Linked DNA regions of Rattus norvegicus. The protein of the gene in region 1 interacts with the protein of each later gene in a biochemical or structural test. Links are inferred from orthologs where the notes say so. Each region holds a gene or a part of one and is shown on either strand. Other genes may lie near its edges.

The links.
Region 2: the proteins of Myo5b (region 1) and Rab11fip2 form a complex in vitro, tested with the Homo sapiens proteins (2 studies listed by BioGRID). The link is inferred for Rattus norvegicus from reciprocal best matches to the Homo sapiens genes MYO5B and RAB11FIP2.

What each region holds. Positions count from the first base shown.
Region 1 is NC_086036.1:70,572,229-70,576,040, reverse strand, and holds part of Myo5b (unconventional myosin-Vb), read right to left. Parts: coding exon 3,698-3,812; intron 2,692-3,697; coding exon 2,569-2,691; intron 1,629-2,568; coding exon 1,491-1,628; intron 1-1,490. UniProt on the Homo sapiens protein: May be involved in vesicular trafficking via its association with the CART complex. The CART complex is necessary for efficient transferrin receptor recycling but not for EGFR degradation.
Region 2 is NC_086019.1:269,076,840-269,081,383, reverse strand, and holds the start of Rab11fip2 (rab11 family-interacting protein 2), read left to right. Parts: upstream 1-1,722; 5' UTR 1,723-1,726; coding exon 1,727-2,079; intron 2,080-4,544. UniProt on the Homo sapiens protein: A Rab11 effector binding preferentially phosphatidylinositol 3,4,5-trisphosphate (PtdInsP3) and phosphatidic acid (PA) and acting in the regulation of the transport of vesicles from the endosomal recycling compartment (ERC) to the plasma membrane.

The DNA.
Region 1 (3,812 bases):
GTCACTGTCTTCAGACACACTAGAAGAGGGCATCAGATCCCATTACAGATGGTTGTGAGCCACCATGTGGTTGCTGGGATTTGAACTCAGGACCTCTGGAAGAAGAGTCAGTGCTCTTAACTACTGAGCCACCTCTCCAGCCCAATAAAAATGAATCTTAAAAACCAAACAAAATGAGGGCTCAGCAGTTAAGAGCACTGACTCGCTCTTTCAGAGGTGCCCCTGTTGCCCTTTTCTGGTGTGTGTGAAGTAATAGTGTACTTGTATACATATTATACCACGTCAGAATGGAAAGGAAAGAAAGGTGTTATGAAAAAAGAGTCTGGGTCCAGGATGGGGGTCAAGGATGGAGGGGGAGGGGGAGGAGGAGAGGGAGGGAGGGGGAGAGGGAGGGGGAGGAAGACGAGGAGAGTCAAATCCCACAATTTTCAGTTTAGGCATGAGAATAGATTTTGCTAGTGGTATGGCGCAGAGCTGGACTTAAATCCCACGAGAAGTTCTCCTCACAACTTCACGGTGAGAAAAAGGGGTTCTTATCTCTGACAGCTCTCTGCTGTGGCAGTACTGATAGGTTTGTAATCAACGGCATTCCCAGTCACACTACAACCTTCTTTTTTTATTTTACACCTGAGCTACATTTCCTACTCCCAAACCTGATTTAAATTCCCCAATGGCTAAGTTTGTCTCCTGCATTTTTACCGGTCTTAAAAAAAGAAACTATGCATAGCGACTGTGTGTGTGTGTCTGTGTGTGTGTGTATGTGTGTGTGTGTGTGCGCACACACAGGCATATGTGTGTCTGTCATGGCTTGCCTATGCCATGGTATCTGTGAAAACCAGAGGACAGCTTCTTGCAGGCATCAGTTCTCTCCTCCCATCATGTGTGTCCCTTGGATCTAACTCAGGCCAGCAGGCTTGACAGCGAGGGTCTTCATGATCCTGAGAGGCATCTTGCTGGCTCTGTTTTCTCTTTTGCACGCCCACGTTGTGTATTTGCTTCGAGCCTGATACTGGCATAGTTCTGTGTTTATAGCTTAGGTTCCCCAAAAGTCCTTGAGACAAATAAATTACTTTTAGATGTAAAGTTTCACACAGTATCCTTTCAAGATGCAAGAGGATAGGGATGTCATCAGTTGTGGTGACACAAAGGCACAGCCGTAGGTGAGAAGGGTCTCCTCTGGCTCTCAGCCAGGTGGCTGAGCTTGTGTTAGATTCCAGGCACGAGAGGGTGGTAGACTTTCTCTGCTGATTCTGACTTCTGCTGTTTTATTTTCTCTGCACCTGATGCCAGTCCTCCAGGCATGAGCTCCCAGACTCCCTACTGCTTCCCAGTGGAAATCCTTTGCCCTGGGATACTCAGGGAGCACACCCAGCTCAGAGGCAGTGGGGTGAGACATTCACAGAGAGTGATCAATTTGGTTCCCACAAGAGGAAGCTCTGAAGCCCAACACCACTGAGACCCCATGGGCTCACAACAGAGCGGCTACGCACCTGCACTTTCTTGCTGTCCTGTTGTTCCTTTTCTAGCTGCACCTGCAGCTTCTTCCTCTCCTGCTCAAGTTCCCGCACTCTCTTCTGCAGCTTCAAGAAGACAGTCATGTCCATGGCTGCCTTCTCTATACCAATCTCCTGCAAACGGAGAGGGGTATCCAGAAGGTAGTTTTCACAGCACAAATGCTCCTGGGAACAATGCCTGGCTGCCCACCCCTGTATCAGTCATCTGTCTCCTTGCTCCTCCCCAGTACCAATCCTTGCCTCCAACACAAAGCCAGTGTCAAACCACTAGTATTTCCCATCAGAAAGCTGGTGCTGCTGGCTTATTCTCTTCAATAACATCTGTGTCTCAGCCGTTCACATTCCTCCTGTGAGAGCCACTTAAGTGACCAATCGCATACTCTAAGGAACAACTGAAAACAGGCACAGGCATTTTCTTTGGAAGGTAAAAGGGAATTCACTTCTGGAAAATGGCATTACAAGAGGGAAACTAAATCTTGGGACACAGTGCTTCCTGATGGGGGATCACTGTGACCTCCGGTCACTGTCGTGATGCCAACGAGTACCCGATCGTAACTTGAAACAAGCAATACTTGCCCTGCCGTGGAGCGCGCTGCTCCAACAGATCTTGATACATTGATCTCCCAGTGCATTCCTATCCTTTCAGATCCGGGTCTGGATTTTACTATGTGGCTAAGTATGTAGACAAGCATGTGCTTGCCTGTCGGTAGGCAATGCGTCTGAGTGCACATCAGTCTGTTTTTGCATGTCGGAAGCATGGTGATGTCCCACCTCATGTAATGAGCACAACTCAGGGTCAGTCTCACTGCCTGTGAGCCGCAGAGCCGTGAGGATGACCGTGCCCATATCTACATGGAAACGGCATGCACACGGATGTGACGCCATATATCAGTAAATTCGCTGCAACCCAGTGATCCTGTTCTCAACGTCCGTGCCCTGGGCCCTCTGAGGCACCACCAACAGAGCAGTATATCTCATATCTCTCTTGGGTGGTTCCATGCAGGCAATTAAGTGTCCTCAACAGGACAACTGCAAACAGTTGTCCCAGACTTACCTCCACCTGCTGTAGGGCATCCTCGGTGTCTCCGATTTCTGAGGTGGAAATGGAGGGGTAATTGGAGTCAGATTCTAAGCTACTTTGATTTGATGGGTTCTTCCTGTGGCCTGGAGTTTGCTGCTGAAGGAGGAAAAAAAAAAAACGTGACAACTCGTAACCAGTTCATATTAATGTGAAGTAACTTCTCAAGGAGCCCCGGACATCAGCCACTGCCTCTCGTCAACAACTGTGGGCAGTAGCGCTCCTTGGAACAGTGGATAAATAGTTATTCCCATGAATGCCAGGCAAATACTCTACCGGTGTTTTATAACCCACAGCACCCAGAAAGCGAGGAGAGAACAGCCTTTTACTCGAGCCGTGCCCTCGGATTGCACAGTGCACCCTTCTCCACGTTCTTGAAAGGAACCCTTTCTGCAACCCTTTCCCACACGGCCTCTCCTTCCACCCCGGTTCTGCTCATGAAAACGAGAGTAATTAGGAATAGAGCCTACCTCCCGTGCTATTCATTTAAAAAGACCTTTTGGCTTATGTTTTTGGCAGCTGGTTTGTCTTTTAAGAGTGAAAACCGAGCTTGGTGGAATTTATAGATTTCTATTTCAGTTCCCACTCAGATTCCTTTCCTGGTTTCTATGCAACTAACTCTCGGATGTCGAATATGCATGTTGGGAGGGAGTTACTCGTACGGGTAAAGAGGAATGTCAAATCCTGAGATGTCACAAAAATATCTTGTATTTTGTCAGAGATTAGGAGACCCAATCGGGTTCCAAGGGTCTCTCTCCACACGGACCAATGCAGCTGAGGTCAGAGCCTACAACACCATTGTCTCAACAGTGGAATTGTCTAGAACAAGAAGCAGATGGCAATAGACACATGCAGGAAGATAAGTTTTAACCTCCTAAGATCTCAATAAGACCTCAGCTTTTGGAAAGGGCATCCTCAGAAGGTGACCACCTAACCACAGAGTTCACAGAGGAACGAAAGAACAAGTGGTCCTTGCACACATGCATGTTTCCTGAGCATGGCATTGCCAGAGGGCAAGGGCTATGCAGCCAGCTCTAAAAGGGCAGAAAGGGAAGCCATTGCCACCAGGCAGCAGAGCTGCCTCCCTTCCCTTTAGGATCGTCACCTCGTCCCGAAGGTTCTCATATCTCTGCTCCAGCTGGGAGTACTCCTTCACGAGGTTCTGGTACCGGGACCGTTCCTCCTCCAGTTCCTTCTTAATCAGCAGGTTTTCCTCCACA
Region 2 (4,544 bases), on another chromosome or scaffold:
ACTTGCTCTAAAACAATAAACACAATACCTTATAGTTTATGGCTGCTTTAAGTTGGATAAAGCACATTCCTATCTATCATATTTATTCTCAAAATTAGTCCCATAAAGGGAGAAAAGCATTTAGTCAACAGATTGGTTAGCATGTCTGCTTAATGCCTAGTATCCCTGAAGTCCTTCAGGGATGTCTAATCTTTGGACATTGCTTCAAGAGCTGTCATCTGTCTACAAAGTTCTCCCTGAAGAAAAGCACAATGCAGTTAAATACTCTCATAATAATTACATTTGGCCCCACTCATAGCTATTGTTGGCCACAGGTTGGATATACTGGCAGGTAGTTCAAAGAACTTAAGAATTTTTCTAGGAAGACATGGATGGAAATAAAGTAGAGCGGGAAAAGGGAGACATAGAGCTCGTGTCCTCTCTAGCCATGAAGTTGTGGTTTGGTTTCCTGAGCACTTGACAGCACTCAGGGAACGCTTTTGACTTGGACGCCATACACACAAATTAGGAAGGGAAAGATGACTAAATAGTTCCATAGAATTATGGCGGCAGGCACGGGGTCAGAACCAGGTCTCTGACGCCATCCCAAAGCGTCTAGGATCTTTATTAAGCAAGGGTAGATTTGAAATCTGAGTCCTTCGCTTTTGGTCTGTGCTCAGGAGGAGGTCCCTTTAGTCAGTTGAAGGTTTCCTCTTCAAGACATGGAGAATGGAGGAAGAATTGCCTCTCAAGAAGAGCTAAGTGCTCTACCACCATTTAAGGACACCAGCGCCTAGTCAGGACTGAACACACAGCTGGGGCAGATTCCTGTCTTCCAAGATGGAAACCGATTCTCCCCCAAGTGCGGGCGTTGTGTTCAGGGCCCAGGGCCACCTCCCAGAACCCCCTGTCGGCCTCCGCGGGTTCTCACGTCCTCAGAGCGCAGTAACCGACAGGCTGGAACCTCAGCACCCACCGTCCAGCGCGCGCACCCCAGCCTCCGCGTGCCGCACCGCGCGCCCCGTCGTCACGGCAACCAGGGAGGCGCTGACCCCCAACCCCGCCCGGCCCCGCCCCTCGCGCAGTCCCGCTCAACATGGAGACGGCCAACCCGGAAGTGGCGCGGCCGCCGCGCGCCCGGCGCTAGGAGCCGCGGGTCGCTGTCCAGGCCTCGCCTGGTGCCGCCGCCGGTCTCAGTTTGCCGCCCGCGCCCCGCGTCCCTCCGGCGTCGGTCCAGGACGGCCGCTTCCGACCCGCTTTCCCAGGCCTGCGCCACTCTCGGGGGAGGAGCCGAGGCGAGGCGAGGCCGCGCGGGCGGTGGGAGCCAGGCCCGGCGGCTGCCGACGGTTCGTATCAGCCGGGTCGGAGGAGGAGCCGGGCCGCGCGGGGCTGAGGCCGGGCCGTAGGGGCACAGGCCCCGGCACGGCGGCGACGCGAGGCGCGGGGCTGCGCGCGGAGGCCCGGACGGCGCGGAGGTGATGTGGGCCCCTGTGCTTCTACGGAAGAAAGGGACCCCCGCAGCGGCGGCGGCCACCGGGCCGGTCCTCTTGACATCAGCCCTTAGGGACCTCGGGGCAGCCCTGACTCCCCAGCTCGCTGAAGTGCCCTTAAGGATGCAGTGATCAGTGTACGGGGCTCTCCCCGCGGGAGGGGCGCTGCCTGTGCTTCTGAACTCTGCTCAGAGAAAAACAAAAACAAAAAGAAAAAACAAAACCGAAAAACAAAACAAAACAAAAAAAGCCCCAGAATGATGCTGTCTGAGCAAGCCCAAAAGTGGTTTCCAACCCACGTGCAGGTCACAGTGCTCCAAGCTAAAGATCTGAAGCCAAAAGGCAAAAGTGGCACCAATGACACATACACCATAATTCAGTTGGGCAAAGAGAAGTATTCTACATCTGTAGCGGAGAAAACCCTGGAGCCGGTCTGGAAGGAGGAGGCCTCTTTTGAGCTGCCTGGGTTGCTCATGCAGGGTAATCCGGAGAAATACATTCTTTTTCTTATAGTGATGCACAGGTCCCTGGTGGGACTGGATAAGTTTTTAGGGCAGGTGGCAATCAATCTCAATGACATCTTTGAGGACAAACAAAGAAGGAAAACAGAGTAAGTTACATAATTTATTTTGAATTTTGGGTACTTAAAGATACATGGATTTACTGTACTTGAACAGTATATTCGAGGCATTGGTCTTTGGGGTTGAAATAGGATCCAGTTTTAAGCACTTCTCTTTGCATGACTTTGAAGTGAAAATAGCCTTTGCTCTGAATTTTTTTTTAATGGAGTGATTAGTGAACCAGTCCCCCCCCCCCCCCCCCCCGCCCCATTTCTGTGTGAGGTAAAGGGCTCTTAAACAGTGGAATATTTTGCATTGGATTTTAATACTTTTTATTAGAGGCCTAGAGCATGAACTGGAAAACCAGAAAATTAAATATATGTGTACCATTAGGTTTATGTTTGTTGAGCACTGTTAAAAGGTAAATTACTAATAAAGGCTGTCAAAAGATAAGTTTCTAATTTTAGAACCGTATTTCAGCATTGGAAACAGTTGGCCTTTATTTTTGCTCCACCAGTTTTCAGGGTCAGTACTTCTTGATAGGGAGAAAGTTGTTAAAAGAAAAGTTTTGGAAGTCTGCACAGACATCTTCAGTCTTGAACCCACTGACATTTTTCCTTTGAATTTGCAGCATAGTGGAGCTATTGTTTACTGAAGAATCAGTTCAGCAAAGCTGTTGTGTTTAGACGGAATTAACTGGTGTAAGATTGGAGACAGTGATTACAGTCTTGTGATGCAGTGATTTAATGACTTCTTTGATGAAAACATGGCTTTTGAAATAGAACTTTCAAGCCCAAGTTAGATATACTTAATTTAAGAAATCAGGATGCAAACCAACACTAGGATATTATGTCCTAAGTTGAAACAAGTAGCAAGTTTGGAAAGGCAGACCTCCTGTCCTGCCCTTTAGCTTACATGCCTGTCCAGGCTTCACCTTACATACATAGCTTATAGTGGGCCTGAAGGCTCCTGGAGATGGCTGGAGTTTATGAAAAGAGGGTTGGGGGAACTCATCAGAGGGTGTCCCTCTTCCCAAGTAGCTTAAAAAAAAAAAAAAAAAAAAAAAAGCAAAACGCAGTCCTGATGGATGTTTATCTACCTACCCTTTAGAGCACTTTCCATGATAATTTTAAGTTCACATTAATTTCTTTTAAGTATAATGATCTTTTCTCTTTTTTCCCTTTTAAAGCCTGCCAGAAAACTTCATTTAATAGGAATTATTTTTGTTTTGTTTTGAATAAAGTCTTTACCTAAGATTTAGTTTATGTAAGATAAAACACTAGAAATGCAACAAGAAAAAAATAGGTAAATATTCAGTTGAGGGGGGAGAAAGTTTAAGTTGTATATTTAATGATTTTTAAATTTCCTAATATTTAACAAATAGCATGTTCTTTCTTCCGAGGAGTTCTTCATCAGCGTTAAAATGAAAAATCAATAGTAACCAAATAATTTGCCCCAAATTGTCACTTTGAAGTGACTCAGTGTATACCTTTAAAGTGTTTTGACTGTGAGCTTTCAAGCATGTACAGTTTCAAATTTCTTACTGTGCTTTAAAAAGTACTTTTAATATTAATGGTAATATACCACAGACCCCTCGAACGTAAATTCCCAAATTTAAGTAGGCCCAAGTGTAGATCCAAAGATCCTGAGAAAGAAGTAGCCTTTTAAAAATTTCTTGTTTTATTTCCGTCTTTGGCAGCTTTGCAGTTACAATAAACTAGACCATGAACAATACTCTTTAACAGTGTAGTCTGTCTATAAAATCAAGGACAGCTTTTGGAGGGGAGATGCTTTGAAATGCTATCAACAGGGTTTGCGATGTTACTGCATACAAAGAGATTTTCATATGTTATTAAACCCTTACTGTTTTGTGCGGGCGACTAAATGGGAACTGCGTATTTGATGAGGTATCTTTATTGGTAATATTTCTAGATTTTTAATATATTTAATAGCTTCCTTTTCCAGCCCAGCTGCACATGTGGCATAGTAAGAGACAGACTTGAGCCACTAGTGTATTAAAAGAAAGGTATTTAATATTCTGCACATTGCTAGCCCTTGTCAGCATATTCCCAAGTGCCTTTTGGAAAAGTAGAATGAGTGATGAAGGCTACCAGCTGATTGAGATGTCCCACGAAACTGCTGGGTGTGACACTTTGTACTTTCCGACAGTGAAAACGACAAGTGTTTACATCTTGTCTTCCAGTTGTGTCATGAGAGGCGAAAAGTATTGTGCTTAAAACTATTATTTTAACCTATTTTTCTACTCTGAATATATATATATATATATATGTGTGTGTGTGTGTGTGTGTGTGTGTGTGTGTGTGTGTGTGTGTGTATTATTTTATTATTTCTTTTTAAAGGAGAGGGGGTGGGGAGGCCCCAAGCCAAATCCTTTGAGGAGAAAGAGAACTTTTGCATTTGCCTTCTTTAATAGATGTCTGGGTTGGTTCTGGCATGAGATTTAAGGAAATAACACAGTGTTTAATAATAGAATGGGAAAATCATTGATGCTGTT